2 linked regions of the Drosophila melanogaster genome follow. The protein of the gene in region 2 interacts with the protein of the main gene of each other region in a pairwise test. Each region holds a gene or a part of one and is shown on either strand. Other genes may lie near its edges.

Evidence for each region.
Region 1: the proteins of gish (region 2) and Creld interact in a two-hybrid assay, tested with the Drosophila melanogaster proteins (one large-scale study listed by BioGRID).

The regions. Positions count from the first base shown.
Region 1 is NT_033779.5:100,835-105,803, reverse strand, and holds Creld (cysteine rich with EGF like domains), read right to left. Parts: upstream 3,425-4,969; 5' UTR 3,346-3,424; coding exon 2,898-3,345; intron 2,799-2,897; coding exon 2,370-2,798; intron 2,289-2,369; coding exon 2,041-2,288; 3' UTR 1,927-2,040; coding exon of another isoform or gene 1,868-1,926; 3' UTR 1,662-1,867; downstream 1-1,661. Other genes in the region: Nhe1 (Na[+]/H[+] hydrogen exchanger 1), read left to right, coding at 1-292, 349-413, 468-799, 857-1,331; Zir (Zizimin-related), read right to left, coding at 3,886-3,928, 4,185-4,555, 4,610-4,788, 4,862-4,969.
Region 2 is NT_033777.3:16,270,311-16,277,183, reverse strand, and holds the start of gish (gilgamesh), read right to left. Parts: upstream 4,184-6,873; 5' UTR 3,854-4,183; intron 3,033-3,853; 5' UTR 2,041-3,032; coding exon 2,015-2,040; intron 1-2,014. Other genes in the region: Mat89Ba (maternal transcript 89Ba), read left to right, coding at 4,850-4,888, 4,945-6,323, 6,377-6,487, 6,544-6,873.

The sequences.
Region 1 (4,969 bases), on a different chromosome or scaffold from region 2:
GTATTCGGCGAAAGCATCCTCAACGACGCCATATCTATTGTGCTGACTGCATCCATAACCCAATCCGCTAACGTCAATGCTGAGGCCAGCACTGGAGAAGCCATGTTCAGCGCGTTGAAGACCTTTTGCGCGATGTTCTTTGCTTCGGCGGGCATTGGAGTCATATTTGCACTAATTTCGGCTCTTCTTCTGAAGCACATCGATTTACGAAAGCATCCATCCCTCGAGTTCGCGATGATGCTAATGTTTACTTACGCACCTTACGTCTTGGCAGAGGGAATACACTTAAGCGGTATATCAATGTTGTTGACTATGACTCTAAAAGCTAAACATTTTTTTCAACTATAGGTATTATGGCTATACTATTTTGCGGAATCGTCATGTCCCACTACACGCATTTCAACCTATCCACTGTAAGTCATATGATATCCCTATTTTATATATTATTAAAACTTTTTTAATCGTAGGTTACCCAAATTACCATGCAGCAGACGATGAGGACACTAGCTTTCATTGCTGAGACCTGCGTGTTTGCTTATCTGGGATTAGCAATCTTTTCTTTTAAACACCAAGTTGAACTATCTTTTGTTATATGGGCCATTGTGCTTTGCTTAATTGGCCGCGCCTGCAATATTTTTCCGCTCGCGTTCTTGGTCAACAAATTTCGCGAGCATAAGATCAATAACAAGATGCAGTTCATTATGTGGTTTTCTGGCCTACGCGGAGCGATTTCCTACGCGCTATCTTTGCACTTGAATCTTGACAGCCAGGAGAAACGACACGTCATCATAACAACAACGTAAGCATATTCCGGATTGTAAAATAATGCTCAGTCATTGAAGAATTAAAATTTCAGATTAATCATTGTGCTATTTACCACGCTAGTGCTGGGGGGCTCCACAATGCCTCTGCTAAAGTACCTTAAGCCAGGAAAAAAACGGCGGGCACGCGGCTCTGGAAGGAATGCCGCTGAGGAGGGAGGTCGACGCAACGGCAGCGGTAGGAAGCGTTCAAAATCTATTTCCCTATCGAAAACTCGCGAATGGGGCCAGGCAATCGACTCTGAACACTTGTCTGAACTCACCGAGGAAGAGGACGTCACCTTTACTCAAGCGCGCGATCGTTTTGGGCGCATGGATCGCAAGTACTTTATTCCGTTTTTTACACGTCGGTTCAATAGTCAGGAATTGCACGAGTGCAAGTCACAGATGGCCGACCTGACTAACAAGTGGTACCAAGCCATTCGAGTGAGTCCATTGGATTCAGATGAATCGGACGAAGAGATAGGACTAGCGGCCAGCACAAGTCAAATTCATTTGACACGGTCGTAGGGATTAAATGGCTGTTGTGGGGGGAGCTCTGTATCCGTTTCGGACTGTGTTGGATAACTTTAGAAGCCAAAGGGAACGATCGTATGTAATGCTTAAGTTCCTCTAGTTAATATTTTTAGAGTTTTTATTTATATAGCGCGGTGATGGTTGTTATCTTGTGTATATTTTTTGTTTACAAATTTTCATTTTGTAAGATCCAAATGCAATGATTCATTCGTATCACTGTAGCTCCTTTATTAATCCGCTTAAAGCAGTATTACATTGCACACGACAGATGGTCTTCAAAATGAAAATTTGGACGTCACAAAAGCACACTACGTCAGTAATTTTAGTTAAAAATATTTATTCATACGAATATATGCTGTATTTGTGATTTTATACATTTTTGAAACCAAATAAATATCTAAGTGTGGTACGTGTAAAAAAATATGGTCATGCCCTGCTTTTTGAAATTCTAATTTATAATTACATATCAATTGATAATATTACCTATTAAAGTAAAATTGGCTACAAAAGGTGTGCGTTTTTGGTTACTTTTACAATTCTTCGTGCGTGGACTCTTCACCGAGCACCGTGGAGTTTGAATCACTGCGGACTGCAAACGAAGTACAAAAATCGTTAGATGTCTTGGGGGAATGTTAAAAGATTATGCTTTTCAAAACGCTCGTGTATATCATAAAAGGAAAGCAATGTTGACATGTCTTTTGACTTATAAAGACTTCATTATTAGTTCCTCCAACTGTTTTGTATCTATTTCGGGTTGGTGGCCGCCTCCTGCCTCCGAGTTGATCCAGTACTCGGAAACAGCAATGTACCCTGCCACTGCCGCCCCAACAATGCAACCCCAGGCAATATGAGTAGAGCTCTGGAAGATGACACAGGTGGCCACGCACATTCCGAAGTAGGTGAGCATTCGCGTAAAGCTTACGTAGTTGCTGCGTTGCTCCGCAGAAATATCTTAAATGATCGGAGGCGCAATACATACAGTGGACAATGCGTTGCTTAAAAGCAAATTTATTAAATTTCTGTCTTACTTACCATGACACTTTCCTTCCTTCAACTCATAGCCATCCGCACACTTCCTGCACATGTCAGGGCCATCACCATCGCATCCATCGCAAGATCGATCACACTCCAGGCAACTAAAGGAGCCCTCATTGTTCACGCAGAACTGCTGTGGTCGGCAAGGGTTTGGACGCTGTTGCTCCAAGCACTCATTAATGTCGACACATCCTGCCTCCGAGTCCATGCTCCAGCCCTTCTTACACTTGCGGCAGCTCTTGGGACCACCTCCCGTGCAGCCTCCTTCCCCACAGGCCGCATGGCACTGTGTACACAGCAATTTCTTTTCGTCACGGAATGATTCGTAGTGCTCCGGTCCACATTCGTTGCAGTTTGGACCCGCATAGCCGGGATCACATTTGCACTTTCCGTTACCCTTTCTAGTTCCGTCTCCTTTGCATTTTCCTGAAATTTGTCATGTGGGTAAAATTAACGAAGACGGCAATCTTAAGTTGACACACTTATGTAAGTTGTGGCCTGTAATACTTGGTTATCATTACTTACCATTTCCATTGCACTCGGTGCAGGTCAGGCAGTCTGGTCCGTAGGTGTTCAGCGGACAGCAGACTGTTAGCTGATCGATGCAAAGCCATGACTGCAGGTCGGGACTCTCTGTTTGTTTGTGGATAAACCAGTCCTCGAGAAGCGCCTCGTGCTCGTTAGCCAGGTTGTGGCAGTGATCCTTGTTTATCACTTCTCCTTCCGAACATAGCTTCTCCTGGATCTCCACTAGCCGTACCTCGCTGTTCTTGTACGAACGCAACTTTTCCTCCTCCCATGCCGTGTCCCCGCCCGCGTGTCCGCGTTTTGTCCTTTCGAGTCCTGCCCTGAAAGAGCTAACAAGCTGGGTACATGCCCTGCAGGGCGGCGGAACAGGCTTTTCGGGAGAATATGACGCCGAAGCAGCGGCTATGAATACTAGCGTTGCGAGCCAACAATACTTGATTCTCATTTTTATTTATTTATTGTCTTTTTAACCGGCAAACTATCTGAGTTTACGTGTAATTAAAGCCGACACTATCGATAAATAAAAACATCGATAGTATACTCGAAAGTTTCGCGAATACCGATAGGTCGCGTTCGATACCATTGCCTCACGGAGCTCACTCTTAGTCAATCTAACAACCGTTAACGACCCATGCGAAATTCGAGGATTATCATTTTCGAATACTTCCCTTTTCTGGTAATCGACAATTAAATTTTGTTGCTGTAGGATACGATTTGTTTCACTCACTTTAACTGCACCTCCTTGTAGCTTGAAACATGTTGCTTTAACTATTTTCGTAAAAGTAAAAAAGTGTAAACTTTATTTTTTTCGCTTTTTAATATTTTGCTTAATCTATTAGATGCATAAAAAAGTTATGCTATTACATTAGCAATTATAGAGATCGATAATTTAAAATGTAAGATTTACTTAAAATAATCCGATACGCTAGACATGAAAGACCAAAAGTATGATAATTTGATTGCAGACTAAGTCGTGTGCAAGAAGTTACCATTTCAAAGGAGTACTTTTGTTGTTGTACGCGTTGGCCCTATTGGATGTATTTAGAAAAGAAATAAAAAATTATATAAGTTAATGTTTACTTTTTGCACTGGTGGTTTTTAATATAGTCATATAGTAAAGTAATATCTATATTAGGCTGGATTCTATAAATATCTAATTAAGCATCTTATGTCTATTATTTAGAGCACTCCGTTGAGGAACAAAATAAGAAAGACATGAGAATTTTAATACATATGTATACACAATGTAACTTTCCTTTTCACTGTATAACAATAAAAACTTACTTGACAACGCCATGATTCTGAACTGATGTAAGAGTAATAAAGGGAGTCAATCGTTCAATGAACCGATCGTTGTTACGTTCCAGTTCTCGTTGGTAATCTTTTTGATCTGAAAGTATTAGATTGCGATTCTTTTTCAAAGCATCAGCACAACGCTTTGAAAACTCGCGAAAGCACAACCGAAGTTTGTTTTGGTGTTTTGTCGGTACAGTTGTTCCGTCGGATAAATTGGAAAGGAACACACTCGCCATTTCCATCGGTCCTTGGTTAACAGTGGTTCCAATACATCCCTGCAGTACCATTTGCAATATTTTGGGGTCTGCTGGCTCTTGATTCGTGGCAGCTGCCAATTCCAATGTTTTTTTTTGAATATCCTAGGCAATAACGTTTAATTTTATTAACTTTTGGGATTTTACAACATAACTTACTTCAATTGCCACTTCAATCGGTTCCAGGACTATTTGCTGTCGGCTAATTACCATAATGCGAGTTTTTACGTATGGAAAGTGATTCGCCGTGGTCAAAATCGTTTTCCGTTTACACTGCTCATTTAGTTCGCCATGTGCCTTTCCATTTTTAGTAAAAGGCGTGGCATATATAAAACGTTCTGCATAAACCAAAAATGTTAAAATTATAATTTTAAATTTCGATTTAAATTATCTGTTTAATTCATATCATACTTATATTGAAATTCCGCTCAAAGTATGTCTCACGATGACGCATTTCATATGTTTCAAAGTAGGGTTCAACATAAGTAATTTGAATGTAAGCCTTATCGGGATCCAAGC
Region 2 (6,873 bases):
TCCTTAACATAATTTAAAATCATGTTTAAATATATGTTGATACTAAACCAACAACGCTAGTTCGTGCTGTACGAATGACTGGTGGCAAGACTGGCGTGGCCTACGTTATGTTGGTTTTGTTCTCGTTTTTAACTGAGAATTTAGGTTATCCCCGTCGCCCCTGCACCATTCACTTGTCATAATAGCTCGGCTATTAAATAATAAAAAGTAATACAAAAAGTTTGTTTTTTATTACATTCGCTGTCTCCAACTAAAATGTGTGGAAATGTGAATATCTAGATGGGTGTGAGTAAGTTTGTTTTGTTGGCTAGCAACAAAATTACGTTAGTTTAGCTGGGTTAGTTGCTTTCCGTTTTCTTGTATTATGTACCGCCGGTGGAGTGGAAAATAAATGTTGTAACATGATTTTTTTTTTTTTTGCTTTTTCATACATTTTGTTGAGTAAACGTTAAAGAGAAAAGGCTCAATCACCACCAGTTGTGACCTAACCTAAATCTATTAAAACGGGTCATGAAACAGTTTTAATTTCACAGAACAACATTCAAGGTTCGCAGGACCAGAATCTACGTCTTCTGACTTCCCAGTTCTGCTTTTCTTATATAACTCCCAGAGGTCAACTAGAATCCCCGATAAAGGGTGCTACTGAAGTCCCCGGTTTCTTACCCATCTTGATGAGCGACAAGCAAACAAGTGCTTTGTGTGAGTATATATAGCTGGAAGACCCGAAAATGCAGACAGCAAACATTGGGAAGACCCAATGGCAAACATATGCGCGTACGTATGTATAAAGAACTATAAAAAACAAAAACAGAGATACACAGACACAGGAAGACTTCGGCCCAACAAGAACCTAGAAATGTCAATAAGCGAACACGAGGTAAAATCGTCAGCAACGAAAGCTTTGGACCCACATTCAAGGCTAAAAAGGCGGCTCTTCCGTCGGCCTGACACAAGGAGGCCGATCGACTGAAATGCCTATAAAATATTTATAATGTGCGTGAGTTGTGTGCACTTCGTTTCCCGCTCTCCTACACGAAAGACCGGTGCTATCTATCACGCACCCACATATGTATGTATGTGGGTATTATGTATTGCATTGGAAACCCATTTCATTCACCCCCTTCTCATGGCTCTTCTTCTTAGTTTGGCTGGCGTGCCAGAGGCGAGAAAAAGCAGACGCCATAAGCCAAAAGCAACAAAAACACTTGCGAAAATAAAATAAAATCAAACACACAAGTTTAAATAGAAACATCTCTTTGCTAAAAATAAAATCGTTCGGCAAAAAAGGCAGCTACAACTAAATCTGTTGCTTGAACTTTTGACAATGTACAGTATTCGCTAGGAAATTAAAAGGAATTAGCTTTATGGAAATTTATTTATGTTAAACGAAATAAAATTATTTTAAACCAGACTCATTTTCTTTAAAAATTCGCAGTTTGCATTCGTTAATATTTTAAAAAGTTTTATGAGTGAAAGAAAAGCTAGTTCTATTGGTTAACTAAGCCAACCAAATCAAAACTGTTAGGTTTTAAAACTTGCAAACACGCGTTTCCCGACACAGCCATAATCTTATCGCTATCAAAATATCCAACCGCTTCTACGCCTGATAACAGTGTACTGTAGTACCGAATATGGAACATTTATGAGAACAGACGTCGCTTCCGTAGATAGTGGCAATGGTTTTTTAGCACGGCTTATCAATGCAAAATTATAAATAGTCGCAAGCCTATGGTCTCTAGTCAAAATTTGAGTACCGCTTGGAGTTGGAAGGTATAGCTAAGGGGCGTACAAAAGATTCAGATTCAAAAGCAGGGATAAAGCCAGTGGGCTAGATTCGCTTATCTTGATTTTCGATTGACAATAGAAAACTATAAATGGGTTTCAATACTGTAGCCAAAAGCAATGCCAACTTAAATGGTAGGATTAATTTTTAATTTTTGAAAGAGTCTTAGAACCATTACCTCTTTATGAATTTGGGGGATAATCGATATACAATTACACAATCATAACTCACCTTGCTTGCCGTTCTCGTCGCTGCATTTCGCCTAGCTAATCTCGCTTGAATTTTGATCGCTTTTCCGTAATTTTGATAATGATTTTTTTATCGACTGCCGCTGCTGCTTTTGTTTTTTTTTTTCCAACGTTGAGGCTGTTAATGTTGCTGACAGGCAACTGGTTTGATCCGAAATGCTGACTCTGTTTGACGAACAAACTGGAGGATCTGCAGGATCTGTGGGATGCGTGCGAATTGAGCGAATTATCCTCACCGCCCACACTCACACGCATTCGCGCACTCACTCACACTCACTTAGCGTCCGCGCATGTCGCGCATGCGAACAACACACACGGGAGATCCGTCGCTCTCTTTTGCTCTTTCCCCCGCTGGACGACAGGTGTGTGTACAGAGATTGCCTCTCTCCCTCTGTTCGCTAGCTTACAGTTATTCCAGTTGTTCCTTTTCCTTCTCTTTCTGCTGTTGTTGTTGTTGTTGCTATGGGGTCGTCGTTGTTTGACATCAAGTATGAAATTTGAGCAGCATCTCCTTGAAATTTCAGCTTTGGTGCTATACTTTCCGAATTTATTTTATGTTTTTGGTGAGCTGTGTGGTAGTTTAGTTATGTGTTCATATGTCAAAAGGCGGGCTATTTGTCGTAGGACTATTTTCCTATTGTTAATCGGCTTTAGGTTCCGGTGTAAATTAGCCAAGGCGAGTGTATCTATGTTGTTAAGAATTAAGGAAAACAGCCTCGTGCTACGCTGAACAACTATGTAAACAAATAATTTTGGCTAAACAATTTGACAAACACACTTTCGCACATTTTATCCAACAATTTTTGTGACAACAGATCTGAATCTCCGAATTCATTCAGATTGTTGCTATGATATTTTTCCTCCCAGTTTTTGATGACATTTTAGGCAAAAGGGACTATGTTGCTGTTTAAATATGTAGTTAAATTTCAATTAAGGGAAATTTAACCGGTCAGTATCACGCCTAAACTTTTAATGCTCACGATCGTGGAAATCAAAGCAATCTGAAAAATAAGAATGGAAAAGTTAAAGCAATTGTAAAAGAGCTGAATAAACAAAATTGTAAACGTAAAGATCGGTCTTAATTCCAAGCGCTTTGAATGTTTTGACGAAAGATCATGTTAACTGATACAAAATATAAAAAAACTCATATTACCGACGATTTAAACATTTTTCATTCTGTATGGATAATAAAAATAGTAAATAGACTAATGAATGTACGAAACTGCGGTATTTCTTTTGGTATGTTAGGCCAGCCATAGCGTATGCTGGTCACACTAAAAGCACTGATGAGAGCGCTAACTAAATTTGTTTTTTTTTTTCAATTGATTTTCATTTAATTTAGTAAGAGTTACTATTGACTTTAACTTAAAACTTTTAAAGTCATCGTCGCACAAATGAAAGTTACTCTCTTCTAAAAGGTACCAAATTAAAATTTAGAAAATTACAGAAAATTAGGCTAATTAGCTGCCATGGCCACCGCGCCGTATAAATTGTTGGAAAAATCTCTGGGGCCGCAAGGTCGAAGTAAATATTTCCGTACGTGATTTCGTTTATTTTTATAAATTTTCAAGTTTTGTTATTCGATGCAAAAAACGAGCCAAGGCGGCGATGGCCAAAGACCCAAAGAGAATAAGAGAGAGAAAACCAAGAAAGGCAGAGGGGCAAAGAGGCAGAGAGGGTGTAACTACTCGACTTTTGGCCATATTTTTTTCAATGGGCCTCCTTTCTGCCAACGCATCATTTTATAAGGTTTGCTTTGATCTTTACGGAATGAACGACTTGTGGGCTTTATTAATTAGGCAACTTTTAACTGCCGATTTACCTTTTATACAGTTTTGCACGCATTTTCATTACGCCTCATTTTTCACCCATACACTCTCACACGCACGCACGCACGCACAGACACAGTTACACACGTTCGGACCGAATATTGAAATTTGCAACTCGATTTGCTACTGTGCGCTCGTCGATTTCTGGATAACAACTTAGTTCACTACTTTTTATAAATTAAGCTGGGCTTGTGTTTAACTGATTTTCTACGAAACAATCCTCGAAAGACCAAAAAACGCACGCAAGAGAGCACGAGAAAAATGGTGCGATTTTTTCCCCTGCCTGCAAACACACACACACACGCTTATACATGGACAGAGACGGAGTAAGACCGTATAGAAAAACGAGGGAAATACTCTAGGCTGATTTAATGCTGATTACTGGTAAAAGAAAAATGGGATAATTTAATTAGCTTTTCCCGTTTATTTTAAACAGATACTTATATACTTGTGCTAAAGACAGAACTTACCTAAAGCCCTCTTTACATAAAAGATGTTTAAACATAATTATGAAATAAAAATACTGTTTAAAATACTGTTGCTGGCGAAACCAATTAGCCGGTAAATTTGTTTATCTACTCTTTAAAACTGTATAGGCCCACGGTAATATCTTTCGCGTTTAACTGATAATTTGTTTTTATAATATTATAAATTTTATCTTATTTATTGGTCCTGGATCCAAGGATTTCTCGGCAATTGGTATAGACATTTACACTTCACATTGTCTAAATTTGTAACTTATTCAACAACTGTGTACCATGCAATATATTTTGCTCTAATTTATTTAGTGTATAAAACCTTTTCAATATTTTAATTATAATTACGTTCGACACTGTTTTTGCGGCTGATTTGGGACTAAAAAACGAATCTGCCCAGTTCTAGGGTGACCATACAAAAACCTCTAATGAAATACCGAATTCTGAAATACCGCATCTGCAACACGTGCGAGTTTAGCTCTCTCTCCAACAAGTAAATAAATTTTATATTATATGCGATTTGTACAGGGAAACATCATGCCAGGAAAGTTGGTAAGATTGTCTAGATCTTTATGGAAACTATTTGGCCTATAACATACTTTGTTTAGGTGGGCTCTCCGAAGGGAGCTGCTCGAACAGGTACCCAAGCAATTGCACATGCCGGGGATCACAGCGACCTTGATGAACCAAAACCCAAAATCGCCAAGAGCGACCCACCATCCACTGCCATACCAAAGAAGAACAACTTCAAGCAGAGAGAAGGTACCAAGAATGTAAAGCCGCCCACTTTGGAGGAGATGAAGGAGCTACGAGACACCCAAAATCTCTTCCACTCCAATCTCTTTAAGCTTCAAGTTAAGGAAATGCTGGAGGAGCTGCAGTTAAAGCAGAAATACACAGATTTCATTGAAAACTGGCTTGAATCCTTTACGGCCTTTACCCGACAGCTAAAGGATGGCTTGATGGAGCGTACCCACTTGGAAGTTCCAATGAAGCTTTCTGAAAAGCCGACCGGATTTGTTTTCTCCAAGCCCACCAGGGAACCTTATCTGATCGGAGCCGCCGCCACGGGCACTTTGCTGGGTCCCAAAATTGTAGTGGATGTGGCCCTGGAGATGCCAAAAGAATCCCTGCACAAAGAAGATTACCTAAACCTTCGCTATGACCAGAAGCGAGCTTTGTATCTTACTTATGTGACGGAGAGGATGATGGAGTCCCCAGATTATGCAGAAGATCAGTTTAATTTCAACTACTATGCTAACAACCCGCTTAAGCCGGTTCTGGAATTGATCCCAGTTACTAAGCAAGTAAACAAGCACCTGCAAGTGCGTCTGTTCATCACTGCCCCATTAAGCAGTTTTAAGCCAGGCAGATTTGTTCCCTGGAACAACAATATTCGGCCCTCGTTTTACGGTGACGAATGGGACGAGAAAGATCCGCTGCCCTCCACCCAACACTACAACGCAAACGTACTGTTTGATCTAACTTTGTCCGAGAACCAGGCTCAATTGGATAAGGCCTTTAAGAGCAGGCGTAATTTTCAGGACGGCCTGCTGCTCCTTAAAGTATGGTTGCGTCAGAGGCAACTGGACATAGGTTACAGTGGGTTTGGTGCCCACATCTTAGCCGCTTTTATTGTGTACCTAAATACGCAGCGCATTCTGCATCAGTCAAGCAGCAGTTACCAAGTGGCACGCACTGTATGGAACCAACTGGCGAACACGGACTGGACGAAAGGCATTAGCCTGTCTGTTGCTCCCATTCAAACGGAAGAATTAAACAAGTTTGCCGAACACTATGACGTTTGCTTTATAGACTTCACTGGACAGCATAATCTATGCGCAAATATTCCGCTTTACCTGTATCAGAGAGTTCGAGAGGAGGCCAAACTGGCGGTGGAACTACTGAACGACATGAAGCTAAACAGTTTCCCGCTTATCTTTATGCAAAAGTGTCCACTGTACAGCAGGGTGGATAATATCTTAAAGTATGTGAAGCTAAAATGTTAGTTTTTCAATTATAAACTTTATTTTTCCCCAGGATTTCCAATTATTCATGCATAAATCAAATGCTTACACTGCATTCGCATCCTCGAATTAAGTACGATTTTGCTAATTATGGTTACCCGCAGCTGCTACATTTACTGACTGAGTGAGTTAACTAAGCTAAACAGGCAACTTACAAAGAAATAATAATCATAACTTTAGGCTCCTTAAAAAGGGACTTGCTGAACGTGTCCACTCCATACTACCCTTAGAAACTGCGACAGCCGCCTGGCCTGTGGAAAAAAAAGCGCCCGTTATTGGGAAGTATATTCAACTGGGCCTTATACTTCAGCCAGAGCACGCATACCAGGTGTTAAACAAAGGACCTGCTGCCAACGATGATCATGAGGGAGCTGAGGAATTCCGACGGTTCTGGGGAGAGAAATCAAACCTACGTCGGTTTCAGGATGGCAGCATCACAGAAGCTGTGGTTTGGGGGACCGCCCAGGATTCACCCGCCAAGAAGCGACTAATTGTTCGCCAGATTGTGCT